Oreochromis niloticus: one gene and its partners. The protein of the gene in region 2 interacts with the protein of the main gene of each other region in a pairwise test. Links are inferred from orthologs where the notes say so. Each region holds a gene or a part of one and is shown on either strand. Other genes may lie near its edges.

Evidence for each region.
Region 1: the proteins of golga2 (region 2) and arl16 interact in binary tests that used the Homo sapiens proteins (3 or more experiments, as listed by UniProt). The two-hybrid records come from large-scale screens. The link is inferred for Oreochromis niloticus from reciprocal best matches to the Homo sapiens genes GOLGA2 and ARL16.
Region 3: the proteins of golga2 (region 2) and prpf31 interact in binary tests that used the Homo sapiens proteins (3 or more experiments, as listed by UniProt). The two-hybrid records come from large-scale screens. The link is inferred for Oreochromis niloticus from reciprocal best matches to the Homo sapiens genes GOLGA2 and PRPF31.
Region 4: the proteins of golga2 (region 2) and lmo4b interact in binary tests that used the Homo sapiens proteins (3 or more experiments, as listed by UniProt). The two-hybrid records come from large-scale screens. The link is inferred for Oreochromis niloticus from reciprocal best matches to the Homo sapiens genes GOLGA2 and LMO4.

The regions. Positions count from the first base shown.
Region 1 is NC_031969.2:22,590,625-22,598,192, forward strand, and holds arl16 (ADP-ribosylation factor-like protein 16), read left to right. Parts: upstream 1-4,564; 5' UTR 4,565-4,676; coding exon 4,677-4,752; intron 4,753-6,058; exon of another isoform or gene 6,059-6,069; coding exon 6,070-6,125; intron 6,126-6,205; coding exon 6,206-6,322; intron 6,323-6,424; coding exon 6,425-6,540; intron 6,541-6,697; coding exon 6,698-6,863; 3' UTR 6,864-6,889; intron 6,890-7,022; 3' UTR 7,023-7,468; downstream 7,469-7,568. Other genes in the region: fn3krp (ketosamine-3-kinase), read right to left, coding at 2,301-2,639, 2,742-2,864, 3,030-3,112, 3,587-3,678, 3,813-3,964, 4,206-4,346. UniProt on the Homo sapiens protein: May suppress the RNA sensing activity of RIGI in a GTP-dependent.
Region 2 is NC_031972.2:20,385,426-20,393,219, forward strand, and holds the start of golga2 (golgin subfamily A member 2), read left to right. Parts: upstream 1-4,775; 5' UTR 4,776-4,858; coding exon 4,859-4,906; intron 4,907-6,101; coding exon 6,102-6,236; intron 6,237-7,794. Other genes in the region: endoplasmic reticulum chaperone BiP, read right to left, coding at 1-198, 297-687, 791-903, 994-1,131, 1,234-1,465, 1,551-1,669. UniProt on the Homo sapiens protein: Peripheral membrane component of the cis-Golgi stack that acts as a membrane skeleton that maintains the structure of the Golgi apparatus, and as a vesicle thether that facilitates vesicle fusion to the Golgi membrane.
Region 3 is NC_031976.2:22,012,208-22,019,646, forward strand, and holds the start of prpf31 (U4/U6 small nuclear ribonucleoprotein Prp31), read right to left. Parts: upstream 3,006-7,439; 5' UTR 2,827-3,005; intron 1,701-2,826; 5' UTR 1,683-1,700; coding exon 1,470-1,682; intron 1,376-1,469; coding exon 1,315-1,375; intron 1,165-1,314; coding exon 1,081-1,164; intron 977-1,080; coding exon 879-976; intron 656-878; coding exon 549-655; intron 1-548. Other genes in the region: uncharacterized protein lmtk3, read right to left, coding at 5,470-5,597. UniProt on the Homo sapiens protein: Involved in pre-mRNA splicing as component of the spliceosome. Required for the assembly of the U4/U5/U6 tri-snRNP complex, one of the building blocks of the spliceosome.
Region 4 is NC_031986.2:31,964,651-31,971,861, reverse strand, and holds the start of lmo4b (LIM domain transcription factor LMO4b), read left to right. Parts: upstream 1-4,193; 5' UTR 4,194-4,651; intron 4,652-6,007; 5' UTR 6,008-6,012; coding exon 6,013-6,248; intron 6,249-7,211. UniProt on the Homo sapiens protein: Transcription cofactor. Plays a role in establishing motor neuron identity, in concert with MNX1, acting, at least in part, to disrupt LDB1-LHX3 complexes thereby negatively modulating interneuron genes in motor neurons.

The DNA of each region.
Region 1 (7,568 bases), on a different chromosome or scaffold from region 2:
GGAAGCATGTAAATATAATAATAACCACTGCAGCCAAGAAGAGTGCCTGACGAGCCCATTTGTAAGTAAATGGTAAATGGCCTGTATTTATATAGCACTTTACTAGTCCCTAAGGACCCCAAAGCGCTTTACATATCCAGACATCCACCCATTCACACACACATTCACACACTGGTGATGGCAAGCTACATAGTAGCCACAGCCGGACGATCTGATTTCCTCGTGTTGGCGTTGTTCCCACATCATCATAATAAATGTTGTTCCAGGTTCAACATTGCAAGTGACCAATCACCTTCTTGTGACGTCATACTTCTGCGACTTATGATATAAAACAAACAGGGGCTAAAAGAGGCTATGGTATGTCTCTGGCAACTTTAACACGATGTCCCAGGACAAATTTGTAAATTTCTGGATTACTGTTAATCTCCATAGAATCAAGAACTCATGTCCAGTTTCACGGCTATGGACCAGTTAATTATGTTTCCAGGTGATAGTTTGATTCATAGATTCAGCACACAACCATTAGTCTAGGCCTTTTAGTTCAAATTCTCTTCACTTATGTTTGTAAAATGATCAGGGAAGCTACTGCAATTTTGCCTGACATTGTTATGACAGCTATATTCACCTGTACATTTATTATATATCATAATATATTGACGGGAGAGCTATATTCACCTGTACTTTCATAATAAATCATAATACATTGACACGCAATTCTCTGTCTGGAGAACACTGGTTCGCAAGTAGCCTATCACTAGCAAACAAACAGCTATCCATTTCAAGGAAAACATATCGAACCGGCAACCTTCCGATTACAAGGCGAACTCCCAACTCTTGAGCCACGATCGCCCCACAGTAAGTAAGCTGTGGGGCGTAAGCTAGTAAGCTATTAAGTAAGCTATTAAGTAAGCTATTAAGACTCAATTGTACACTGTGTTCGTGTTTTCCTCCGGAAAAAATAAGTTCCGTTGGAGCAGCCTTTCAACGCCTCTCTCTGTCTCTGGCAAGCAAAGTTGACCCAGACAACAAAGTAAAGCTATTTTTCGGCTACCAGCCCGACACGGAACCCACTGTATTAGCCCGAGGTCCCTTTACTACTGTTCGGAGCCGCGGACCTTCAGTAACAGTAATAAATCACAGCAATAGTACATTCACGTAGTTGTAAACAGCATGATAATATATTAAGTAATCCAAAGTATTCAGAATACGTTACTCTCATTGAGTAACGTAACGGAATACGTTACAGCAGGGGTGGGCAATTCCAGGCCCCGAGGGCTGGTGTCCCTGCAGGTTTTACACGTGTCCTTGAACCAACACAGCTGATTTAAATGGCTAAATTAGCTCCTCAACATGTCCTGATGTTCTTCAGAGGCCTGGTAATGAACTAATCATGTGATTCAGGTGTGTTGACCCAAGGTGAGATCTAAAACCTGCAGGGACACCGGCCCTCGGGGCCTGGAATTGCCCACCCCTGCGTTACAGAATACATTTTGGGCCATGTATTCAGTATTCTGTAATGGAATACATTTTAAAAGTAACCTTCCCAACACTGCTAAACAGTTATTTGGGCTGCTGTGAAGCTGATCTAATGATGAAACATTTCCATCCAAATGGGAGTGTTTTTCTTTTCCATGCCTCCATTCACAGGGTGTAAAGGTTTTCACACTAGATAAATAACAAATTCAGCAGGTCTGGATAAACACAGTGGATTCACTTAGGATTTAATACTGGTTATACCATGCACAACAAGGGCTTGCAATGACTCATTGTTATACAGTGATATTTTGTAGGTGTAGTTAGTATGCCAACCTTTATTCCATTCGTAGCCATTCTACTATAATGTAGATAAAATATAAAACATTGCATCCATAGTGAAAGTCAGATTCTAGTTTGTTCTACCTGCTTATAAAGGATTCCTAAATATTAACATAAATAAATAAAAAACATTCATTTTTAAGTTGAATCATGGGTGTGTTGTACAGTCTTCTGATTTGCAAGTTTTGTTTAATGTATGTCTGTACACAAACTACACTTAATTCACTGTAACACCTTGTGCAAAATACAGAATTTATTTGCGGATTCTGTTATAAATATTAGGAAGCCGGACAGTGTCAGATGAGCTGGCAGGATGCAACAGTTTTTGCTATGTTAGGTCAGCATTTTCTACACAGTACAGAAGACATTAAAGTGTTAGATGTGTTGTTTAGTGTCTTCACACACTGTTTTTGGTCAAATAAGCAAAATCGCATAATACTTCAATTTAAGACTGCAATGCTTTCTAAGAGTGGCTGTGAGTGTGTTTATTTCAGCAGGGTCTTCATAACTCTTATGGAAGAACCTTTGTAACCACCACCAAAGTGGTTCCAGTGATTCAGGTAGTGGAAGAGTTGGTAAAGCTGGTTCCTCTTTGCAAATCCTGGTGCTTGGGGAATCTTGCTGTGGTATGCAGAGTAAAAAGCGCTGTTGAAGCCACCAAACATCCCAGCAATACCCAACTCAAACTCAGAGTGCCCATAGAAGGAAGCAGGATCGAAGATGACTGGGCCGTCTGCACACTCTGCCACGTTTCCTCCCCATAAATCTCCATGTAGGAGAGCGGGGACTATCTCCACATCTTTGAAGAACTGGGGGATCTTCAGCTGGAAATAAGAGACACAACATGCACATTACAATGCTGAAACAATCATAATGTCTTGTGCAAAATATGTTTAATTTCAAACAGAATCAAAGGGAGGTTGCACCTGTAACTCAGCCCATAGTTCTCTGGTCTCCCTGTCTCCATACGATTTCTCCACCACGTTAAGCTGGTGCTGTAGCCTCTGCTGGGTGTAGAATGCCACCCAATCACTCTGCCATTGATTGTCCTGGAGAGGTAAGAAAGAGAAGAAACTGTGATGCTGCTGAAATTCACTTTAACATCTTGAAGATTTGGAGACCAAACATTTGTAACACAACTTAGAGACATCAATACTGTACACCTTCCCCTAGAATGCAGACACAGTATATCGACACGTATACATTGGCTTTACCTGTGGCAGATATCCACAGCATGTAGTTACATGGAAGCCAAATTTTTCAACAGCAGCCACATCTGACTGACCCGCTCCTTTTCCTGCATATATAGCCGCAATATTAATAAACAGTCATCACAAACGTTTTACCTAAAATATGACACAGTTCATTATTATTCATTGGTGTGTGTGTGTGTTCTTGTCTAGCTATCTTTGTGAGGACCGAAATCTGCATTCTACTATACTTGTGAGAACCAGCAGTCACTTGTGAGGACACACAACCCGGTCCTCACATTTTTGAAGGCATTTAAAGCCATTTTTGAGGCTTAAAACGTGGTTTTAGTGTCAGGGTTACAATTAGGTTATGGTTAGGTTTAGGGTAAGGGTTAGGGTTAGGCATTCATTTTTAATGGTTAGGGTTAGGGTAAGGGGCTAGGGAAACCATTATGTCAATGAGGGTCCTCACTAAGATAGCTGAACGGGGTTGTGTGTGTGTGTGTGTGTGTGTGTGTGTGTGTGTGTGTGTGTGTATTATCCACATTGTGGCATCCTAAAATTAAGTTAAACTGAATTACCCACTGTCTGTTGCTCTTTATTTAATTTTTCCAGTTGTTTCTTGTTGTGAAGATGCAGATCTGCCATCTTCTCTCCTAGCTGTTTTGAGTACCTGCTCATTGCATTTAAAAATAAAGTATGTCATTGAAAAAATATTTTGCTCAGTGTTTCTAAAACTAAATTCATCTGCCCAAATTCTGCTTTAAACTGCACTAAAGAAAAAAATGTAGTCAAGAGCTCTCTTACTTGCTAAGACTGTTCATGTCCAGATGTTCCATCACAAATACAGAGCCTCCCGTGTCAAGCTCAATCACCTTTATGGGCTTGGGGACTTTCACGGTTTCTGTCTTTACAATAGCCTCCAAACTGGCCACTTCTCCATCAAACATCAGTTTGGCCTGGATAAATTAAAGACAGGACAACACGGTCTGGTAAACACAAGCTTCAGTAACTGTAAATATTTGCATCGTTCTCCACTCCACAACACCCGCACAAAGTCCACGGACAGTAGTGTGGTGCAGCTGCTGGATCATGTCCTATTCATTTAAGTCCCGAGTTGAGCACACGCCGAAAGCCGACCATGAACTAACTGAATGACACAACAGTTAAAGAAAATGAAAAACTAACAATGGCAGATACCTCACTCTTGTGATTTGTCTTTACAAACACTTTCCCAGTGTCAGTATGATAACTCTGTCCCTCGCTGATGCATCCACCTCCAGCATGACCAGCTGATTTCAGCATGGTTGTCCCCAACTCCTTCTTTAACTTAGCTTCCATGATTATTTATCATCAGTTCCAGGACAGTTACAGCAGGACTAAAACCAACTACGCATTGCAAATGCGGGTATGAAAGTCTTTCTGACAGTTTCCGTTGTGGCAGCCAACCAGGACTTTGTCCCGAAGCAGGATTTTGTTTTGCTTCCGGTATGTAAATAATGATAGAGTAGTAGCCAATCATAAACAAGTCTGGGTTGTTTATGATTGGATTGATTTCTACTTTGTCCAATAGTTGCGACGTCTGCCCGGTCACGTGAACGTCGCCATGGTGCCAAGTGAGGCTACAGCTATACGCTACGAGTTTAACTATGGTTCTGCAGAAAAACCGGCATGACCAGCAAAGAAATGTGTTTACTCCTCGGAGCGACCGGTGTTGGTAAGACGTTGTTGCTCAAACGTCTACAAAATATCCTTTGTGGCCATGTGAATTTCTTTGACGTAAAAGGAAATACTACCAAATAGCTTAATTAGCTAACTAATTTAGCCTATGAGCTTGTGTAGTACTTAAGTTGCTAAGTAATGGACGACCAGGGTCTGTATATCGCCTTTCCCAATTGCCAAATGTCGATACCCAGTGTTATTTTATTTTGCATCGGTATGTGTACAAATTCATCTTCATAATAAGACCTCTAAGAGAGATTATTATTACAATATAGAAGCTATGATAGCCCTTATTAGTTTGGAAATTCGCATTACTGCAGAAATTAGTGCTGTACTGTAATGTGAAATTGTCAATGGTCAGAAAGTGGATAATAACAATAATAATTATAATTATATAAAACAATAGGAAACATGTACAAGGTAGAAGTATAATTTAAATGTGTGTACATATATGGCGCAGTGATAAAATATAACATCTTTAGATGCCTAGAAGCAACAAAACAGAACCCCCAGATGATGCTAATAGGAGATGGAGTGTTGAAAACAGTTGCACACTGTTATTTATCAGTCCCTAATGTGTGCATGTGTAAATATACATGTGTTTTACTGCTGCGGCTCTGCTAGATGGAAAGACCTCCAATATTGCTCCTTTACACACCGTGGGTCCAGCAGCCTGACGCTTAAGAAGCTGCTCAGTGCTGTAAGAGTGTCCTGCATTGGGTGGGAGGTGTTTAGCTACAATGCTACCGGTCACTTACTACCTCCACTGGGTCAAGAGGGCATCACGTTGGCACTCTTGGTCTACCTGTTTCAATTCTTTTTGTCCCCAGTAGAGATACTGCTGCCCCAACAGACCAACACCATTACAGATGGCTGTTGGAACCACAGAGTCATAAAATGTCTTCAGGAGCTTCTCCTGCACTTCAAAAGTCCTTGGCATACTTACCAGATACAGCCTGCTAGCTATTTCTGTATTTTTCCAGTTGCTTTTATTCTAAAAATTATATTTCAGAGATTGAAAGGGAAGTGATCTGCAACAGCACAAGTTAAACACTATCCTCCAGTTGCCTAGATTACATGCATGGGGCCCATCGCATATAAACTTTGCCCAAATTGGTGGATTATTAATAAACTGTCATCTGAGCAGATGACATGATCTCATTTGTGAGGTGACAAGTGAACAGTAGTCTCTCAGCTGTGACATCACCAACCTTACTCATAACAAATATTCAAGTTCTACTTTCATAGCTCATAAAATATTGCATAAACATTTCAAAATGTTTTTCTTTAAAGCTGATAGCAATGCTGGCTCAAGTCAATTTTCCTATCAGATTTCATTTACAGTTTATCGTACATGGTTTAGATGAATTAGGGACACCACCTTCAACTCTTCCCACAGTAAGTACTAATGGACAGTTCAAATTCTCTGACACCTTATCCGTGTAATTTCTTCAATCTCCAGTCTTCATTCTTTGTAGGTAGGAACCAATCTGACAGACCTGACCGTGAAGAAGAAGAAGGTGACTGTGAGAGAGCTGGGAGGCTGCATGGGCCCTATATGGCCCAGTTACTTCAAAGACTGCTCCTCTGTCATTGTATGATCTTTGTATACATGCTGTTTATATTTGTAATATTCAATATGGGTTTTCTAAATTGAAGTGTTTGAGTAGATTTCTTTTGTTTACATTTCTCCATAGTTCATGGTGGATTCAGCCAACATTGCTCAGATATCCTCCTCCTGTATCCAGCTGCTGTCAGTACTCTCAGCTGAGCCTCTGAGCAAGGCCTCTGTGCTTATTCTCTTCAACAAGAGGTGACACTCCTAGAATACACATCAGTCTCTATTAGTGTTTTACTATATTGTACAAGATCTCTAGCAGGTTTAATGCAATTTGTATGTAATAAGGAAAGCTAATAATACCACTAGGAAATTTTTGATTTTCTTTTCCAATTTTAAATTTTTCCCCCAGGGACACGCCTTGCACTATGAGCCTTATAGAGATAAAGTCACTGTTCAGGATGGATGACATTGTTGCATCTGCGACTCAGCCAATCACAACACTGGAAGTCAGTGCCAGATCTGGAGAGGGACTTAAAGAGGTGATGAGCTGGCTGGAGTCCGTCACAGTCAAGTGACATACGCTTACTGACTACTTCATTAGGTACACATGTACAATTACTCTTTCATGCAAATATCTAATCAGCTAATAACATGGCAGCAACTGAATTAGTTTAAGCATTGAAACATGGTAAAGATGATCTGCTGAACCGAGTTCTCTGGCCTTGTTGTTGTAGATGGTCAGAGGAGAAGGAGACCAGAGGGGCTAAGAACAGGAAACAGGCTACAGTTTGCACAGGCTAACCAAAGTTAGACATCAAAGAATTGAAAAATGTTGCCTGGTCCAGTGAGTGTCAGTTTCTCCCGGGAATTTGGATGGTATTGTTACAATTTGGCATAAATAAAATGAAAGTATAGATCCACCCTCCCTTGTATCAGAGGATCAGGCTGGTAGCGGTGTAATGGTGTGCCAGATATTTTCTTGGTACCCTGCACCCAGCAGGATAACGCAGTATGTCACAAAGCTCCAGTCATGAACTTGACAATCAGTTCACTGTACTCAAATGGCCTCAAGAGTCACCAGATCTCAATCCAGTGGAGCACCTTCAAAGTCTGGTGCAAACTCACACCATGGTTGTGCACATGACAAATCTGCAGCAAGTGCATAAGACTGTCAAGTCAATATGGACCAAAATCCAAGGAATGTTTCCAGCACCTTGTTAAATAGAATTAAAACAGTTCTGAAGGAAAACTAGTGAGGTATACCTAATAAAGTGGCCAGT
Region 2 (7,794 bases):
AGCTCCGTATGCCACAGCCTCATCAGGGTTGATGCCTCTAGATGGCTCTTTGCCATTGAAGAACTCCTTCACCAGCTGCTGGATTTTGGGGATACGGGTGGAGCCTCCAACCAGGACAATCTCATCAATGTCAGACTTCTTCAAGTCAGAATCTTCCAGCACCTTCTGTACAGGCTTCATGGTGGAACGGAACAGGTCCTGGGTTTTGAAGAACACACAGGTTAAAAAACCTTGGTCAACCATTTCTCCAATTGGGTTTAATACGCAATATTTTCAGAACCAAATTAATATCTTACCATGTTCAGTTCCTCAAACTTGGCACGAGTCAGGGTCTCAGAGAAGTCCTCTCCCTCAAAGAAAGACTCGATCTCAATGCGGGCTTGGTGCTGGGCAGACAGCGCCCTCTTGGCCTTCTCGACCTCACGACGCAGCTTCTGCACAGCACGGTTGTCTTTGCGCACATCTTTGCCAGTCTTCTTCTTGTACAGCTTGATGAAGTGCTCCATGACACGCTGGTCAAAGTCCTCACCTCCCAGATGAGTGTCACCGTTGGTGGCCACCACTTCGAACACACCGTTGTCAATGGTCAGAAGAGAGACATCAAAGGTGCCACCGCCCAGATCGAACACAAGAATGTTCTTCTCTCCGTCCTTCTTGTCCAGGCCATAAGCAATAGCAGCAGCAGTTCTAAAGAATACAATGAGAGTTTATTGTTAGAAGGGAGGGCAGAGATATTTTTTTGACAGTTTCAAATTGCAGATGATCAAATTCATTTTGACTGGATGCTTACGGCTCATTGATGATTCGCATAACATTCAGACCAGCAATGGTACCAGCATCCTTAGTGGCCTGGCGCTGGGCATCATTAAAGTAGGCGGGGACAGTGACCACAGCATGTGTGACCTGAGGAAAAAGGATAAAGTTAGATTTGATGATACACCATTTAATTAAGATTAGCTTTTTCACTGATTTACAATCTCTGACTTTTTGTACCTTCTTGCCCAGGTAAGCCTCAGCAGTCTCCTTCATCTTAGTTAGCACCATAGCAGAGACCTCCTCAGGAGCAAAGGTCTTCATCTGGCCACCACCAATGTCAACCTGGATATGGGGCTTGCTCTTCTTCTCAGTAACCTTCATAGGAATACACACCAATATTAATTTAACAAGAATTTCACTCAAACATGACCCAAAGAATCAACTACTACAAGTTTTACTTTCAGTTTAGAAGCTCACCTTGAAGGGCAGGTACTTGATGTCCTGCTGCACAGAAGGATCACCCCAAGTGCGACCAATGAGCCTCTTGGCATCAAAGATGGTGTTCTCAGGGTTAGAGGTCAGCTGATTCTTGGCAGCATCACCAATCAGACGCTCACCTTCACTGGTGAAGGCCACATAGGAGGGGGTGATTCGGTTTCCCTGGTCATTGGCAATAATCTCCACGCGTCCATTCTTGAACACTCCAACACTGCAAGAAAACAGTTTGAATTTAGTCTGAATGCCATTTTATTCCATGGTGGTATCATGTCACTATAAGAGCTTGACGTGATTACCATGAGTATGTGGTCCCCAGATCAATCCCAACCACAGTCCCCACGTTGTCCTTCTTGTCTTCATCGTCGGCGGCAAACACTGTGCCGACCACCAGCATCACAACCCAGAACAGCTTCATCTTTGTTTGTACTTATATCTACAAGCGGATCTGCAGAAAAGAAATACAATGTAACACATTAGATGGGTTCAGCCTCCCAAGTGCGCTAGCCAGAAACTAACGGTACTGCGTAATGTCACTTGCTGAGCTTGCAGACCCATGGCAGACTAAAAGTTGGTCTTGGCGAATAAATATAACAGGAAAATATGAATTATCGATAAAATAAGTTGGATCACCAGTCAATCACCGTCATGACCACCACCACCCCCCCGCCAATTCGCCGGTATCTTGCTAACTACGCTACCATGCCTAGCAGACATGCAGGGGGAAACCACCATGCTAGAACATTCCAAACTACATCCTGTTTATTATATTTAGGTTACAGAGTCTGTACAGTTCATTCAGACGACAGTAGTGTAGTTACATTTCAGCTGGTTTATTGGTCAATATTGACCTTAACCGGTTTTACCTTAATAAAACATTTTGCAGAAAATGGAAAATACCGCGATGCTTCATTATCATATTCATATTAACGTTTATACATACCTTAACAGAAGTTCAACCAATGAATTAACGGCCTTTGAGTTTCCTCTACCGGTAAAAGACGCTTGGAGCAACCTGTATATCTTTTGTCTCTTTCAAATCCTTACTTGTGTAGAATGATGCTGTACGAAATGTGGTCTCTCCATATATAAGCCGTCACTTCTTTCCCGTCGTGGAGGCTCGCGATTGGCTGAGCTGTTGCTCGTTGGAACACGCTGATTGGTTTCATTCAGCACGCTGGCCGCCGCTGATTTGCACACATCAGGTTGAAGAGACGTCACCGTATGTGTCCACTGCGCCGACGCTGATTGGCTGTCTGTCAAGGGCAATCCTGAACACAGTTGGTGCAGCGACATGCCACTCTCAATGCCGGGGGAGAGGTGGATGCATTTCTCGCATTTCATACATTTACAGATTTTTGCTGCAATAATTTTTTTTTGCAATGGCCCACCAAGTGTTTGATTTGTAATCTTAATTTTGCGGTTTTAAGGCGTGTCATTACGAGGAGATAGTGATGCAATTGTGAGACGTAATGACTAACTGCTATGAGTATGAAAATCCAAATCCTTTGTGTGATTGTGATGAATCTGACAGGAAATCTTGTACCAGGTGAACTGGGTTGTCTGGGTGTTTCCTCAGTGAATGTACAAGTCTTAGCTAAAGACTACAGATACATGTGATCACACTGATTTCAGTTTGGTTGAAATCTTTTGCACACATAAGAAGGTAACATAAACTGGCACATTCAGTTGGGTTTCAGTTCAATCAACAAGACAAATATTTGCTTAAAAAGTCAAGGTAGCTGACTGCCATTGTCAAGATATGATCCTTGGCAAATGTGCCAATATATACCAGCCAAAGTACAAGGCTATGATATGGGTATTTTAAAAACACTAACTAATTGCAAGAATTTTCTAAAATCCAAAATCATTACATGGATAGAATTGAACTGATCTGCTTTCTCCTACTGTGATTTATCTGAATTCTTCTATTAACACTGATATATTTCCAGAAGGTTCCTGAACTAAACCGGTTGTACTGTCAGGAAGAATATAGAAAAGTCATAAAATTATAAAATATCAGTGTAGCAGTTAAGTTTTGTCTATTTCTTTTATTTATTTATTTACATAGTTTCCCATAAAAACCATAAACATTTCTATGTCTAGATTTGGAAACCTCTTACTTAGTGGCCTCCAATTCTGATTACGTTTTATGGGAGAATAACAAGTGAACATCAGATTTCAGTGTTTCATCTTTTTCTTTATTGTCTTAAAGTAATGCAAAGTATTTTATTATTATTTTATTTTGAAGCCCTTTTCAGACTTTGCAGGGATTTCTACAGAAAATTTTATTATTCTATTCAAAGGATACCCTCATTTTAAAGCTAATGCTGATGAATTGAAAAGCATATTGTTACGGAGAAGCCTCCAGTTCCTGTTAGTAGAATTCCTTATATTTTATTCAAGAAAATCTAAAAGATGCGTTTATATTGTTTATAAGGTCCTTCTAATGTTACTGTCAGGCAGTTTACTATTTGTGTCATTTATATCTGCTTTCTTTGTGTTACAAACAAAAGCAAAACTAACCTGTAAACTTGAAAGACAATGATGACTCATTAAGACTAAAACCACACAGGGCAGTGAAACAAACCTGATGGAAAATTCTGGGTTTAATGTGTCATTTTCTTTGTATACAATTGAACTTTTTACTTGGACTTTTAAATCTAGTAAAAAGAGTTGGATATCATAGTTAACACTAGGAGGAGCCATGTTGCTAAATCAAGGAGGAAGTGATCAGTAAGGCCTTCATACAGGTTATTACAATGTAAGGACTACTAGCATTGGTTTCGCCTTGTGTTTGTTGTATGGAAACCCCTTTCTGATATGCTTTCTATTAATATGAATTAATAGATTGACATTTTGTAGAGTTTTTTTTTTCTCATATTTTTTTATAAAATGTTTGAATGTCCCTTAAGGAGCCTGGAGAATTATTCTTGAAGAGTATGACAAGAAGAGGAAGGAAGAGTATGACTTGAAGAGGAATGACAAGAAATCTGCCTCAGAGCGTTCTGACTGTGTGAAAGAATAAAGGTGGTCATTCCAAAGAGACTTCCAAGCTTGTTTGTACAGAATTGTTAGAATTTCCCTTATATACCTTATTTTCTTTTGTGTAAGGGAGGATCAAGATTTTTTCCACAGTACTACACTTCATTACACCTGTGGTAAATTTACATATTACAAAAAGAAAGTGAAAAAAGTCATTTTTTAAAACATAAAATAAGACAGTACTGTACGGTACATTTCTGTGTAATAAATGTAACCTACAAAATAATAGGCTATATTTATCTTAATTATAGAGAAACACAAAGGTAAAGTAGCAACAACTACAGACAATGAAAGCAGCCGACAACCACATAGCAAAGGTGTTAATACATTTTTTCCTAAACTCTGTCGAAAATAATACTTTATATATTTCATATAACAAAAGAAAGAAAACATGGTTCAGGCTAATTTATGTGAGGTTGTAAGCTCACGGCCATAGACGGTATAAAGATGTTTTATGCTATGTCGAGGGCACAGCTTGAGCTCTGCGCCACCTACTGGCTTAGACGCGTATGAGCGCCAAGCTGATGACGTGGTTCGCTCAGTTGACCACCAGAGCAGCAGGATGGCCGACCAGAGTAGGCAAATAAAACTCGCTGCAGCTAAGAAAAAGGTAAAGTATTTTACAAGTAACGCAGTTACATAGCGCGAAAAGTGTAGTTCCCACTTTATGTACACAAGTCTGTGTTAACTCTGTTTTCTTGTCTTTTCGTTATGTATATTTTTTACGGGGCAAGGGTGTTGTCATTACACGTCGCCCGAGTTCTGCACTGTCGCTTGTCCGACCTCCTCCGCTCCTCTCGCGGCTCTGTTGCGTAGGAGAGACCGATGTTTCATCGGGGCCTCTGCTGATAGCATTAACTTTCCCAGATTATGTAGACTATTTTTAGTTAGTAGAGACACGCATACTATCCCACGCTGTTTATGTACTCGCAGATTAACTTGCACCACTTGCTTGGCCGCTTTACTTGACTTTCCAGCTGACATTTAAATGTAGTTAAAGCCTAACGTGCTAACCCAGGCAAGTTAACGTTAGCAAGCTAGCTAACTAGCTGATGAATATATGGCTACGTGTGTGTCTAAGGAATGTCGCACAGCAGCCTGCCAGCTTTTTGTGTTATCTGCAGAATTTAATTTCATAAGAAAATGTCTAACAAACGGTAGTTTTAAAACACAGCACTCATTGAGCTTGTAAGCTACCCCTGTAGCACAGTTAGCTGGATGGACTGACGGGGGGTGTTTTGACAGCTGACACCCCTCTTCCCTGTCCTGCTGTGTGCTTTGGCTTGGTGTCTTTTTCGGCTAGTCAGAAAGATGGCCTTATCAGATTCAAGAAGTGACTCGCCAGCATTTTTTGCTGGCCCACAAGCTTCACGACTGAGTGGTCGTGGTGACATGTCATTTTGCTGCTATTTAGCTTTACTGTTAAAAAAAAAAAAAGCCCCAGCAGTTCCCCTTAGACAGCTGTTAGAGCGTTCTGGTATGCTTTAACCGTCATATGCATATCATACGCAGGTTATCATTGTTTAGCACAACTTACTAACTTCATCCGTTTGAAGCCGGATCTTTCTGCTAGCTGGTGCATTGTTTTGGAATTGGAGCACTGAATTCGAATTTTATTACCTCATTCATTCAGCTTGTTAAGACGCTCGAGATGTTGAGTGTAATTTGTTTGAAATAATATCTATAGTTTGGGACAGTTGCAGAGTCCTGGTACTATATGTGTAAGACGTGACAAATAAATATATATTAGTAGACATTGTTCATGTGCACACGTTTATGGGTTTCTTCTCTCATTTCCTACTCAGCTGAAGGAATTTCAACAGAAGAGCTCCCCTGCTAGTGTAGGAGGAGAAAAAGGAGGAGCAGCCAAGAAGAAGAGAAAGGTGAAGGGATCCAGCCAACTTGATGCACCTTCACCAGACAGAAACTCTCCAGACAATGTAAGCATAACAGTTTGCCTTATTGTTGTTGTTGTTGTTGTCGTCAAATGACATCCTCTTTTTGTGCTTGGTAGATGGTCATTTCATGATTTGTTCTCTCAAGTTGAAGGGTGTTGTATTTGTGTGTTTGGCTGAAGAACATATATGTGTGTGTGTGTGTATACATATATATATATATATATATATATATATGAGATAGATAGATAGAATACTTTTTTTCTTTTTTTTTTTGCCAATTATTATCTACAGCAGAGTAGAAGTATTTACACCTCTTTGGGGCGCTGATGACAGACATGTTTACCTAAGAAGGGCGTTGCACATGAGACAGTGTTTTTTAAGCCCCTGACCACAACTGTGGCTTTTACATATTGCAATATGTAGCATAAGGTAAGAATTTCAAGAACTAATATATAATTTCATGAGATGGTATAAATAACAGTCCAGATGAGTTTATAATAGTAATATAATGTAGTTCGGTTGACTTGAATATACATAGGATTGTCCACTTAGCCCACTACAGCGTCAGCATTGTCTCCTTCATTTTGAAAGAATGCCGTCCTGTATTATATTTCCATGTTGACTAAGACTGTTGTGATGATTCCTTGATGTCATTCAGTGTCTTAGGTTGTGGATATATAGCAGTCCTTGTTCTGTTGCACAAATGAGCAGCATTCCAACTAGAACCTGGAGCAGTCTGTGCATGATGAACTGGCTGACTACTATCACCAGCTGCAGTCCAAGCTGCTGGAGTCGCAGCCAGTTTGACTAGATAGACAGCTGAATATAGTCTGTCATTTGTCTCAAAACACTTACTATTTCCAGTACCTTCAATACCACAATATATATGCTGATGTTTAATAATTTATCCAAAAAAGCACTGGTGTAGCAACTTATGTGCATATCAAAAACTCACTTTCCTCTACCCCTGTCAGTTGCTGCCGCAGAAACACTATAATGAACACGTTATGTCATCTGATTGTTTCAGCACTCAGGTTCATCAGCTTTTTGTTATAGAACGTTTAATAGGAATAATCATAAAATTACATTGATTAAAAAATGATAGGCTTTCAAGTCTCCTCTCCCAAGAATCCCTCTGTGAATATCAGCTAGTTCTCTACTCTATGCTACTGCTTTAAGTTTATCCTGCACTTTAGTAGCACTCTTTATAGCTGATTAATAGTAATTAATTCCTGATCTTCAAAGCAGTGACTCATTAGTCAGATGTTCATCCATCAGTCCATTAATTTCTTCTGTATATTCGAAGTTGAGCTGAGGTGGCAGCTGGGTATTCAAATTTCCTATTTCTCTGTGATTTGTTTCTGATTTTCATTACTCACTTGTTTTTCACCACATTTGTACTTGTTTGAGTAGAAAACATAATAAATGTGCTAACAAGACCATTGCTTTAATATTTGTTCTGGTGATTTTAAAAAAAGTACTGGGACAAATTGTGTGCAGCAAGTAACACAATCACATTCTTTGAGCTCTCTTGACAGTCTAACAAGTTTTGGATTTTTTAAGAAAACATTTTTGGTATTTAATGTCATTTTGATTACTA
Region 3 (7,439 bases), on a different chromosome or scaffold from region 2:
TTTTTTAAGACTGAAGGAAGTTTTAATTTTGCAACTTTTCAAATATAAATCACTTCAAAATGAGGTATAAAAGTTATGGTGTTTATGAGACTCAAAGAAGAAGTCTGTGTTTAGTTTGTGTTTAAGACTTATTCAGATTTTACAATTAATATTCCAAAATTGGCAGTACTTGGCTTTTATCCAGTTGTAAAAATAAGACATGATGATAATAATTTTAATTGTATGCAGCACATAAAGGGTTCTCTTTAGGCTTCCTCCCACAGTCCAAAAGCATGCATTCATGGTTGTGGTTTTAAATTGACAACAGGTAGGTATATGAGTGTGAACATGACCATGAATGTGAATGGTTGCCCATCTGTGTGTTAGCCCTGTGACCTGTGCTGGGTGTACCCTGCCTCTCCCCATTAAGCTGGGATAGGCTCCAGCCCCCCAGCATTAGCAACCCCATAGTTTTTCATTTCCAGTGAGTGATTTAAGGTGATTCTAGCAGGAAGTTGTCACAGTGAACTACATGAAACTCTTCTGGTGAGACGGGACCTTTAACTTACCCCTGTGTGGTTGAGGCTGTGACACTGACAACCATAATGGTGGCATTGGTAAGGATTTGCTGCAGCGTTTCATTGTTTTTGCATTTCTCCAGATTGTTTCCCAGCTCCTAGATACAAACCACAAAAAAAGAAGAAAAATTAGGGGAGAAAACATCATGTTCAAACAAACTACAGGAAACAATGTTTTTAACAGGTGCAGTTTTAAACTCTTTAATCATGTCAGTTTTGTTAAAAATAGAAATCCTAATTCTAACTAAAAAACAGAAACAGTCAACTCTGAGCTTCTTTTTTGGGGGGGGGGGTCAAAGATGAATACATAGTTCAGCTCACCTTGACAGTACGGATGTAATCCAAAGAATCCGGCACCAGAGACTCCAGCTCTGGAAACCTCTTGGAGTATTTGTCCCTGGTAAACTTGTGGATGATATCTAGAAACAAATCAGAAACACAGAGGACATCTCAGGTTATAAGGAAGAGAACTAAATCTCAAAACATAGCATTATGGATCACCAGAGAGAAGAAGCCAACTCACTGAGCTCGTTGTCGATCTCCACTGTGAGGTTATTAGCTGCGACGATCAGTCTGTATTCTGGGTCAGCCTCGACTGGGCCTGAGACTAAAAGCAAACAAAAAAAATAATAATAACAACTCCATGACTACTCTGGGTTACCATTAAGTTCAAATTAAATGTGTTTACAGAGTAAAACAGAGAAATGAATGGAAACTGATAGTGAGAAGAGCCTTAAATAATAATAACAACACTCACCCTCTGAGTTCTTACGCTGCTTTCCAATATATTCAGAAATTTTGTCCATTATCTCTGAAAACTGCAAAACACACAAGAGTCACTCTGGGAAGAACAGAGCAGACATTTTACTGCTAATCTCAACATGTGTAAAGCTCTTGTATGATACAACTCACCTGTTTGCTATTGCGAAGCTTTGCAATAGACGCGACGCTCTCAGCTTTACTGTAGTCCACCTCCATCTCCTCTGGGATGTCTTCCAGCCCTCCGTCTGCACTTCCCTGGTTCGGCTCTCCATCGCTGTCCCTCTCTTCTTCTGGGTACAGCCCATCCTCTCCCTCATCTCCGGCCTCCTCCAGATCAGCCAGGAGCTCATCTGCCAGAGACATCTGCAATCGATGGGAAAACTGTGAGGACAAGCAAAGCTGACTAGGATCAGTTTGCCTACATGAGGTTGTCACTGAGTTTGGTGGGGTATATGTTCTTTATTTGCTGCTGTTGATGTAACTCTGAATTTATTTATTTTTTTATTAATGATCTGGTTACATAACTTGAGGATCCCATATTTAAAAGGTCAGCAGTGCGATCACTGGCTCATCTAGTCCTTACTTACATTGAACTGAAGTGAAATTTGGGATGAAAACAAACCCAAAAAAGCTCCTCCTGATGTGTCACTAGCATGTGGGATAAACTAAGTGTATACAATAAGCCTCTGTATAAATGTGTGCATAAACAGATTTATGTGGCTTTTAGTGTAAAGAGCTTTAAGTGGTTTACAAGACCAGAGAAGTGTGATACAAATGCATTCTGTTTCACAAAATTATTTATGCTCGCTTTGGAGATTTCCAAAAATGTTTCCCAAGTATCTTCAATTATAGAACATACACCAATAATCTCAGCATTAGATCACATAAAAGTACAGTAACTTTTTTTTTTGTTTTAACTCTGTGTTGGGAAAGCCTACATATCTGATGAAATCCCTTGGGTTCTAACTGCTTGGCCTTTTTTGACTGTTTTCTGAGGGCTTATAAAGCAATCTCTACAGACGCACAACCAGCAACTAAAACAATATTCTTATTCTTAAATTCTTATTTTAAAAAAAAAAAAAAAAAAAAAAAGCACGTCTCTAATATCCCCTTCCTTAATAGTATTATTTGAGCACTAGATACTTAATACTAGTTTTACTCATTTATCAAACAATACAAATACAAATCAAATGCAAAAAGTGTGTCAATACAAAAACTTATGGACCTCGCTGTGTTTTCAAGCCTGAAAGAGAAATTCATCTGTAGACATATTTTTGTGACATATTCTTCTGACAAAGAAGCTCTTCTCAGACTCGTCTGAGATACTATCGAGGCCGTGTTCAGTCCCTCACACACTATCACCGCCACATAAAAACTGTGAAGTATTAAGTCTGCTTCCATCTTTGGGTTATCGCTGGCTGTGTTTGGAGTTAACATTGTTAGCTAGCTAGCATTAGCGAACGTTGGTCCGACGTTACTGAGCGATTTCTCAGTAACTTTGACATACCTCAGAGTTTCAGAGTCCTACTGGTTTAAGAAAAAATAAAGACGTCCAATGCAGGTTTCAGTCGCTTTGAATAGAAATAAAAAACGATTCGTCCCTCTGTTTTCTTGACTGTTTGCAATCCGGTTGTGCGGCGCCGATGTACCGCTGGTCGCAGATTAAATACGTACATTCGCAAAGCTTTGTGGGAAACTGTGTCAGTACACTTCACAATCACAGAGGCACAATCAATATCAGACTCTACCAACAAAAAGGCTCTCAAAACAATATATATCTGTGAATTTTTGCGTGTATTCTTGTAACTTTTTACCCCTGCCTTTGTGTGTTCATGTTCTGTTGTTTTGTATACTTCATCTGTTCGTATGTTGTATACTCATTGTTTGTTAAATAAAGTTTAACAAAAAAAAAAAAAAAAAAATCACAGAGGGTGTTTTTTGTTTTGCTTTTTGACACAGGTTTGATTATCTATCTATCTATCTATCTATCTATCTGTGAAATATATACAGTACATACATAAACTCGGTGTACAGTACAGTGAAAATATGGATTAAGATCTGTTTGAATGCAAAATACGATGCTCTAAGTTGATCTGAATGTATATGTGTAATAAGGCGAATAGGTACTGGTGAATACTAATGGTGAGTTATATTTATTTATTACAATATGCTTTTGGGTGTAACTGCAAATTTAAAATGAACCACTTAAAGTTGTTTTTTTTTTTCATGTTTTTCATAAGTATAATTTTAATTAAAGTATCCTCACACACACCTCCACCTCCCCTTTTACACCCTAGGGATAATTTAGTGGAAGCTAGGAAAAAAATGTTAGCATAATGACTTAGTCTCACAACACTAACCTTAATTTAGAGTTACTAAGTCAAAATTTCAAAATACCTAACCCAAAATGTTGATTTAAGGACATCAAAAATATACATAAAAATATTAATAATGATAATCAGTAGCAGAAAAAACGCTTCCATGTTTCCCAGCCTCACCTGTGCTGGGAGGTGACATTTTTATATTGTATCTACCTAGATTATGGAGTTGGGGTCATGGCTTTGCTGGCTGACAGGTTTTCCCAGCACAGACAGCTGGAGCAATCCATCTCATTTTCACTAACTGTGTCTGTGATGTCAGTGCCTTCTGAAGCATTAATTGATTTATAATATATAACTTGCTCTTACAGCCCATACGTCTCTGAGTAAAATTTCTAGTATGTCAATAGTTTGCAACTTAGCCCTCATTGACAAACATGTATCTGGATATAAGTGCAGCTTTTCTTGGTCATGAATGAAGTAAAAGTAACAATCGAGCTTATTTATATGACGCAGTTCAAATAAGAGGTTCACATTTCATAGTTTTTATTTCCCCCTTGTTTATACATTGCCCCCTGAAAACCATTCTTTAAACAATACAAGTTTAAACCAACATTTAAACAGACTAAACAAATTGACTAGTTGGATCTCGACTGCATGATGGACTGTTATTAGTAGAAAATGGAATAAATTAACAGATACACAAACAAATGGGAGTTATTTACTAATGAAAGGCTTCGATTTTTCATGCTAAGCTACATTAACTGTCATTAATTAAGATAAAAGAATGACGAGACAGCTAAAAATTCATAGACATCGGAAAATAATGAAACATTACAGGACGTTGTTCCATACATATTGGCATATATTAACAAGTAAAATTATACAAAATACTTTTTTTTTTGTTTAGCAATTAAGACGTTTGGGAAAATATTTTGATTTATTTGTTATGAAGATCTTGGAGAAGTTATAGACCTAGATGCATTTCTGTCCCAAACAAATTATAGCTAAGTTCATATATGCAATTGCACCAAAGCAAATAAATACATAACTTAATAGATTAAATAAATAATTAAGATATTGCATGGAAACTGACTTTACATAAATTAAGTAAAATAACATAGAAATAAATATAGAAATTAAAGCTTTTCAGAAATAAAAGTAAAAATAAACTGCTTGTTTCATTTTTCGTGCAGTCTAAGAATACATCTAAAAGTAAACAGCTCTAAAATGATACTGTATACACTTGTATTATGATGTTTGTACAAATGCTGAGGAGTATTGTCAAATACAGGAGTCAAGCAATTTCTGTTTCAAACTGCTGCCTACAAGAACAACTGACTGACTGCAATGAAAAATGTCCTTAATAAAGAGAGGACCGGGATCCAAGCGTTTACATAGACAGACGAATGACTAAAGAAAGTGCATTCCCTGCACACCCAGGGAAAAACAGAACAAAGCAGAAAAAGAGAAGGTAAGCTGGTACACAGCAAGACTCCCACTGCATAGCTGTCGAATCTGTTTCAGATTTTACAAAGCTCCCGGCTCCTCTTCGCCTAGCATATGCTGCCTTTTCCAAAGATTTCTGCAGCCAAAGGCTATGAATAAACTCTGTAAACAGTGGCAGGCCGGAGCTCAGCAACCCCCAGTCGTACAAAATCCCGTCACTAGTAAAACCTGGAATGTTTCCAGCTTTTAGAATCGAAGTCTCTTCTTTCAGTTGCCTCTTCAATAAAAAAATATCCTCTGGGCGAATGGCTGGTTGTTGGGTTAATTCACGGGCCAGTCCGAGAGGGTTGAGCTCTAAAGTGTTTCCAGGATGATGTGCAACATCACACCAGGTGTGGGTCATCAGCCGGGCTGACAGTGAAGCGCGATGAAGTCACTGAATTTGCCCCGACAGGTGACCTTGGTTTGACTGATAAATCCTCTTTCCTTTTCGATTCTTTGCTTTTTGGCCCTAAAAGAGACAAAAAACAACATTAGCATCATGACTGTGCTGGTGTTAAAACCAGAACAAGTGCACCAGGCATAAATACCGAAGCCCAAATGAACAGGATGTTCCCGGGCAATAAGCGTGTGTTTGACTGTAAGGGGAAGTTTAAGGAAAGTCTTTTTATTGGAATTAAACCAAAACATTCACCCGGTTCACAATCAATCACAACTGAAACAATTAAGTTTTCTAATCGTTTGTTGGCTGCATTGCACAAACAAATCAGAATCCACTAAGAAGTCAAAGAACTGTCAAACTTGGAGGACTAGAACTACCTAATTCTGCCATAAAAAGCAATGAAAATATATAAAAGGATCAGTGTGTCATAGCACTGAGCATGTTATATCAGCATGATGGTTAATAGGCAGGCCCGGCCCTTCCAACAGGACCACTCCCTCCATCATCACAACGAATAAGATCATAATTATCATCATCATCTAACAGGATACCAGCGATATGAAGCATGTGTGACAAAGCGATGTTTCAAGCTACCACTTTGTTTATTCTAAAGAGGTGGTGCTGGTTGTCTACCAATCAAGGACCAATCCCTGGCTCGTCTTGTGCCATGTGTCAAAGCATCCCTGGACAAGACACTGAACCCTGAGTTGCCCCCAGTGCATTGATGTGAGTGTGTGCACGTATAAGGTATAAACAGGCTGTTTGAATGAGACTCGCTTTGAGTGCTCAGAATTGAGTAGAAGGTGCCAGAAGTACCAATCCATTTACCACGAAGTTCTTTCTTGGTCGTTTTGTGCATCAACATTGAGAATCTGATATTATCAATATCATTCAGTACATCAGGGCGAGCATTACCTGCTTGAAGGTAATGCTGAGAAAAAGTACCTGTAAAATTACCAGTGTGACCTTGAGCCGAAGCACAGTTTGGATGAAGGCCCATTAGGTGATCAATGTGTAATTTTGATTAAATTCTGACCGATACTGTAGGAGGAGTAGGTCTTCTTATGAATTTTGATGATCAACCAATCTATTCATAGGAGAATGATGATCCATCTGTGACTGGGACACATGTTTACTCACTTATAAGATGCACAAGAAAAAACCCCCAGTACCAAGCACAGGGGAGAAAATCAGCTGATAATCTAGATCTTAATAGATCTAGATTATCAGTCAACAACCACACTGAGGCGACGCAGACTTAGTTTAAAATAACTCAAAAGTAACACGGATTCCTCTTTCAAAACTTTGAAGTCTTGAAAGGCTTGAAAGATCATTAAGGAATCTAATTTTGCCTTTTCTGTATGTGACACAGCTCGAAAGCAAACTCTGAGCCCCAACTTTCATTAGTCTGTGAAAAAGGGTGTTGAGTGCATGAGATGGAGAGTGGAAAGTAGCGAGAGCAGCTGAAAATGTGCAGGGAAACATGACTCGGGCTTGCATTGTTGAGTGCGGGATTAACATCCCTGCTAAGTTCAACATGTCACAGCATCCCGGGGCATAATTATAGAAGATTAACTCTGGCTCCATATTTGCAGCGGAGAGAGCTGAACTGAGGTTTTCCATTTTAGCTGGGAATGTGCTAGCGGCTGTCACATTTTGTTACATCATTAGGCAGCTCAAGGAGGAGACTAACTGAATCCCTGTGTAAGAAGCAGCAGACACTGATGTACGTAGAGTCCAACAAGCCAGCAGTTATGGTAACAGCTGTGTGGTGCAGCGCTGCACTGAAAGCTAACATCAGCATCAGTTATTATTAGTTTTGTATTTTCTCATTCGCTTTTATTTTATGTCGTTTAGAGTTTTTGTTTCAGTACAGATAATACAATATAAACATTTTTTGAAAGCAGCTTA
Region 4 (7,211 bases), on a different chromosome or scaffold from region 2:
CTAACTCATTCACCCAATGCTTATCTAACATTCATACTCCAATGAATGGATTCATTCCACCCCATGAATGCAACATGGGGTTAGTATCTTGCCCAAGGATATTTGGCATTCAAACTGGGGAAGCCAGGAATCAAACCACTAACCTTCCAATCAGTGGATGACCTGCTCCACCACCTGAGCTACAGCCACCCCTACATATGACTGATGCATTATCCCCACTTCCTTTCACTTTACAAAAGAGAAGCTACACTGTTATGGAAATGAACACGTGTGCTGCCATTCTGCTCCTGTGACCAGATTCTGTGCAGTAGTGACTCGAGGGTGGAAAACACTGCCTGACTTTGAGTGGTCAGTAAGAATGCAAAATTGCCATATAAATCTTGGGCTATTTACTACTGAGTACCTCATACTTGGCCAAATGTGAGCACAGATGTGCTATGACATCCTCAGTTAAAGTTGAATTAAAAACGTTTGGTGTTTACTTACAAATAACCCATTTGTAAATTATTTTGGTACCAAAAATAAGTAAACATCAGAAACAAACAATACTATATTGTCTAGTATAGTCACATGAATATCATGCATGATTGTGCTATGATCTGCAAACTCTTCTTTAGCTTTGATTATGCCACATGTGCCAAACTCAAGACCATGGAGCCAAATTTGTCCCTTTGCAAAATGTTATCTAATCCATATATTATTTTAGATTCTTAATAAAATTTTAAGAAAAATTCATGATGAAAAATCTATTTCTTTTACTTATGAAGCTTAACTCATGTGTATGAGATACACCTGTTCAGCTGCTTGTTAATACAAATATATAATCTGCCAGTCACATGGCAGCAACAAATTGCATTTAGGCATTGTTAAGATGACCTGCTGAAGTTCAGAATCTGAGAGAATATGGAAAAATGGTGATTTAAGTGACTTGATGTAACATTGTTGTTGATGCCAGATGGGCTGGTCTGAGTATTTCAGAAAGTGCTGATCTGCTGGGATTTTCCCACATAACCATCTCTAGGGTTTATAGAGAATGGTCTGAGAAAATACGAGCAGCAGTTCACTGGGTGAAAATGCTGTGTTGATGCCAGAGGTCAGAGGACAACTACCAGACTTCTTTGAGCTGACAGGAAAGGAACAGTAAGTCAAAATCCACACACCGAACAACACATTGAACCTTGAAGCAGATGGCCTACAGCAGCAGAAGACCACACCTGGTGCAACTCCTATCAACTAAGAGCAGGAAATTGAGCCTACAATTCACATGGGCATTCTCAACATTGGATTTTAGAAGACTGGAAAAACGATGCCTAGTCAGATGAGCCTCGGTTTCTGTTGCCACTTTCAAGTGGTGGCGTCAGAATTTGGCATGAACAGCATGGAAGCACAGATCCATCCTGCCTTGTATCAACATTTCAGGCTGCCGGCGGTGGTGTGGGGAATATTTCTTGGAATACTAGTACCAGCTCAGCATCATTTAAACACCATAGTCTGTCTGAGTATTGCTGCTGACCATGTGCATTCCTTTATGACCACAGTGTACCCATTTTCTGATCGCAACATGTCACAAACCTCAGATCATTTCAAACTGGCTACTTGAACATTACAATGAGCTCATAATACTCACATGGTCTCCACAGTCACCAGATCTAAATCCAGTAGAGGTTCTTTGGGACGGTGTGCAGATTCCCATCATGGAAAGGCAAAGGAGCACTCTTGTGGCCTGGGTGAAGTATGTGGATCAAACTGTACATGAGAAGGCTATGCAGGGCACGCATTTTTGATCGAATTAAAGAATTTGAAGAAAATATATATATATTGCCCTTGATGAAATTGACTTTGACAGCCCTGGATTATATAATTATAATAACTTTAACATTTTGCAAACCTTTGCTATTTCCCCAGATGCACAAAGTTGTGTGTATTGGTGTGTTGTGTCTGATCCAGAAAAAAGCACTTTAGATGTTCAGGAAATTGGCATCAATCAGTTTATCACTTTCAGAAGCATCCTGAATCAACATGTTTTACAGAGAATGTGGACTTTAAGTGTTCCTTTAATGCCTCTTTAGGTAAGTAACCTTTTACTCATTTAGCAGATTTCACTCAGAGATCTTTGTGCCACGCTGTGTGCAGTCCTAGAGCAGCTTCTCTGTATCTGCAGATAATCTGAACTCTAATCTTCCCTGATCAGTTGGCTCAGCTAAACGAACATCATTCTCTTTTACAGACAACATATGCAGTAAAGCGAGGGCAACGTCGTATCGCAAATGGCGGACGAGGCCACATGTAGCTGCGCGATCTCAGAATGTGAGCCTGAGAGAAAGTTGGAGTGACCTGGAGGTTTTGTGTAAACTCTCAGGCTGAAACCGGCCTCTCTGCGGCTCAGTGTCACGTCAATACACGAGAACACAGAGCGAATCCCAGGCTGAAGTTAACCACCGTGCTCAATGCGGCTCTCCTGCTTTTTCCCACAGGACAAGCAGCTTCATTATGAAGCACCGTGGTCTCCTTTTCATCTCAGTGAGATCACCCCTGTGGGGAGTATCAACACTGTGAGCCACATCTGACGCTCTCTTGTCCCTGTTTAAACACTGAAATAGTGTTCAATCATATTGTTGTTGGCTGCTTTCTTCTTTTTTTTTGTCATAATGCAGCTGCTTGGAAACTGCCACAGGACTCAAAGATCTCAGCGGAGAAAGGAGGTGATCAATTTCTGAGGGAACCCCCACCTACCCAGCCACCCACTCTTCTCTCCCTCCTTGTCTCCCTGACCCCTCCACCTCCTCCTCACTTCAACTAGCCATAATTATTTTGCAAAAGAGCTCCAGAAAAAGAACACGCAGAGTAATTTCTCTTGCCCAGTTATGAAAAGCTCATTAAAAAAGGCCCGGAACAAACAAAGCTTTTCCTGTGAGGCCTCTTTTCAAATTCATTTCATAATTTTCCTCTGTTTTAATCATTTATATCAATTAATCATTCCTTGGTGGAAAAGACATTCTTTGCAATCTTCCGTGGGGTTTTTTTGTTCTGCTGAGTGAGAGGCTTGATGAGAATGTCAGGAGAATGTGGCTCAAACCAAGGCGGAGTAGCACTGGCTTTGCCAAAAGGGAAATCAGCTTGATGCAGCGCGATCTCTTCGGAGCTGCAGGAATAATTAAACAATTAAAGTCAAGAAAAAGATCATCTTTATACATCTGACGTCTTTCTAATGAAGCCAGGGGCATCTTATAAGAGAGCCGTTTTGTCATGTAAAACCACTCAGCCTGCTGAATCTCAAACAGGGAAACTTTTCTCCAATAGCAACTGTTTTTGGTTAAACTGAAGACGTCACTTGTTTGCAGCTTTTCTTTACAAGGAGAGCAGCCCCCCCGCCTCTCTGTCGTGGTGTCGCCACCATATACATTTCATTTTTATTAAAAAGCGTCACAGTTACCTTCAGTTGATGGGATCTCTGATGTGTCACGTGATGGTGGAAAAACTCAAACTGAAGGAATTAAAAGGATCTCAGCCAAATCAGGTCTTGCAGATTAGCCTTAATAGGTGTTGAAACCAATGACCCGAGGCTTAATGAGGTTGTAAACGACAGCAGGCCTCGCTGCGATTTTTTTCAGTGACAGACGATGGCGCCACTACGCAGCTATTAGGGGGGCTTGATATTTCCCAGAGGTTGGAGTCACCCTCGGTAAACTAAGTAGTTATTGAATGTCAACTAATTAAAGTCGGGCGTGAGATGAATGCAGCCTACAGGATGTTGCTATGCAGCTTTCAGTAGTCCTGACAATGGAGACAGTTTAATCTTTATATTATTACAATGCTTCATATCCAATCTCTCCATGTCCGAGTATTATGGACGTTTGGAAGAGATAATATATTTATCACGGTGATATTGAAGCTCCTTAAACAGGACACTGAGTTTATTCTACGGATTTTCTTTGGCGTATAAATCCGCTCTAATCTGGTCTCTGCCCCTGATTTGGCTTGTATACATTGGACTGCTGCGTGTCTCTTCTCTCCGGTCCATCTCACCTCCGTTTCCATCCTTCTCTGTCTGCGTGTCCGAGTCAGTCTCGCCTCCCTCTGATTGGCCAGAATTGTTATTCCTCCTAAATGGACCGCGCGCTGATTGGCTGCCGAGGCCCTTTCGTCACGCGGCTGAAGGGGCTTTTTTACTGGAGGTTTCTTCCTGTCAGCGACACATGTAGAACAAGCAGCTAACGGGACCCAGAGACCAGAGCAGAGGACAGTCAATTACAGCTTCTCTGCCTGCCTCCGTGTTTCTGTTTTTCCTCCCTCCCTCTTCTCCACGCACTTCCCCAGCTCTGTGGACTCAACGGCATGCGCAGACCTGTAATTACGGCTTGTGATGGACTCGTTTTTGTTCCAGCGAGAAAAAGAGCACTAAAAGCGGCAGCAGCAGTTAAACGGGAAGCATCCAGTGGAAATACTATCTGATAACTCCATTTGCTTGCTGAAGAGCCGAGCTCGAGGGTTTCGCTGCCGCGCGGAGCTGGAGGCCGACGACCGCGCTCGGTGGTGCGTCCGCTTTCTACCTGTACTTTTTTGGGGTACTGTTGTTGTAGCCTACCTGTTCGCCTACCTGCCATTCAAGCCATCAACTTTACAGCCATTACCCTGAAAGGAGACAAACGAGGTGGGTGTTTGCCGCTGGTACAGCTGTTCTGTGTGTTTGCGCTGTATATATATTTTTATATGTATATATGCTACCTGTAATTGTCCGTAGTTTTCAGAGTGGAAACAGTCGGTTTTGAGTCCTCCCGTGTCTATTTTAAGAATGCCTGCGCTCAGATGTGACAGCCGACATTACACTGGTCTTTTTTTTAAGCACTTAGCTTGTAGTAATTGAGATGTGAAGCTGCATTTCTTTTATTTTCTATTTCAAAAACAAAATCAGGCAGCAGGCAGCGGACAGAAGCTTTTAGCACATGGCTGTCTGATATGTTCCCCCCCCTCCGTCTCTCTCGCTCCCTCTTCTATTTCCATGACTTGGTCTCCAAATTGCTTGCCCGTGTAATTACTTGAGTTAGCCCATTTAAGTTAAAAGCCACCCCCCTCCTCTTCCCCTCCCCGTCCCCTCCATCCCTCAGCGGAAAAAAAGGAAACTCCTCTGAATGAAACTTGATGATGGCCCCGTCTTGTTTATCCGGGAGTCACTTTCAGGTCGGCTTTTTTGATTCATCTCCTTTTAGATTTAATCAGCACTAAGGTACGCTGTGGTTTGTCCCTAAGAGCCATCGCTAATGGGCTTACTGAATGCTTTTCTCTGTGCACCCCCCAGCCTCCCTCTTCCTAACTCTAATTAGCCTACCTGTCTTTCAACAAAGATTTGGCTTTATCCAGGCGAGGCTGCCTGACCAAATTGGAGAGGATTACATTTGAAAGAGCCCACATTAATTTGGTGGGTGAAACAAATGCCTGCATTTCAGTAGATTAGAACATTTAACATCATTACAGCGTGTGCACATCGCTGTATCAGGGCTGTGGTGTAGATGCGTGATCATATACTTGGCTGAGGTCAAAGGCTCATGCAGCATCACAACTAATGTGCCAAACATCAGCCTCTCTTTACTCGCTCCCTTGAGTTTTGCTGTGGACATCACCTCTTTGCATAGTGAGGAATTGTGCGCCATTTAGAAATTCTTAGGACAGCTCAACAAAGGCCCGTGCTGTGTAATTGTTCCTCTGGCCCCACAGTGTTATCAGTGAATAGACATTCATCACAAGAGGTCTGATGAAGCAACAGCGTAGAGATCAAGGGCAGATTAATTCACTAAGTGTCTTGTGGTTGTCTTGTAGCAGAGATCGGGCTTCGCAGCTGCAGATACAACAGTATGTTCAAACAGCTGATAACTGATCAGTTATGACAAATGTGTCAACTCATAGCTGTGTAAGTCCTGACCCTTGTGTGCACTTAAGCAGTCCTTAAGTGTAAAAGAAAAAAAAGAAGTCTGAACAGCAACCTGTCATGGTTTCTTCTGTGTGTTCTCAGGTACGATGGTGAATCCCGGAGGCAGCAGCCAGCCACCACCGGTGGGCACAGGTTCTCTGTCCTGGAAGCGGTGCGCCGGCTGCGGGGGCAAAATTGCGGACCGTTTCCTCCTTTACACCATGGACAGCTACTGGCACAGCCGATGCCTCAAGTGCTCCTGCTGCCAGGCCCAGCTGGGTGAGATCGGCACATCGTGCTACACAAAAAGTGGCATGATCCTCTGTAGAAACGACTACATCAGGTGAGGAAATCACCAGGTTGTGTGTTCAGTTTTCCGTATTTTGCTGTTGCAGCCTTACTGAGCAAGTCAGATCGTTTAAACATCTTGCATGAATTTAAAAGGAAAAACTGTGCTTCTCATAGCCCGTAGAACTTTTCTTCTGGATTATATTAAGCTGTGATATTAAATCAAGTTAAAAGCAGGACTAAGCTGATGTAGATCTGTCATGGTCATGCAACCGTCCGCAAAGTTTGGTGCATTTCTGCACGACATGTGTCTCAAATTGTACTAACGTCATCAGTGCTCATTAAGGCGTCCTGGTTGAAGGCTCTTTGGCCTGCCCTGAAAGACGCCAAACGTGGCGCCATGTTGACAGAGCACAAAGCAAAAGGAGAGAGCCTCTGCAGGTCATAACGCGGTCTGTCCTGTTTTACAGTCAACAAAAGAACAGAAAACTGGTCCTAAATGACTTGAGTTAGCTCTGCAAGAGACACAAACAGGATCTGTGTTCAGCGAAGGCTGTTTTATTCTAATTTTTTTAATACAGTGGAAAAAGGATCATTTAATTAGCAAAGAGAGCCTTTTTAAATATTCAAGTAGGTGTGCCAGACACCCAACCAGAGCTTGTTGATGACACTCATTCTGGTCATGTTGAGCAGTCTTAAGTGACGAGAGAAGGTGCAGTTTACTGAAAGTTCACATGCATCCTTGACTCACCCTCATGTGCTAGACTGGTATTGATTTTTAAGCCAATCAATTAGCCATTTGCTAAACTTGAGTTTCTATTCATGCAAGACAGTCAGAGATTCCGTTTTTATTGTTATATCATAGAAATGCATGCTCATATTCTAATGGATGGAACCGCACTCCAGTTAACATACAACGCTGCTATCAAATCTGCACGGATAATTCAAAATCTAAAGTGCGCCTGTGCGCTCTCACACCCACCTCATAAAAAGGATGGGGAAGTCAATGGGGTACTTC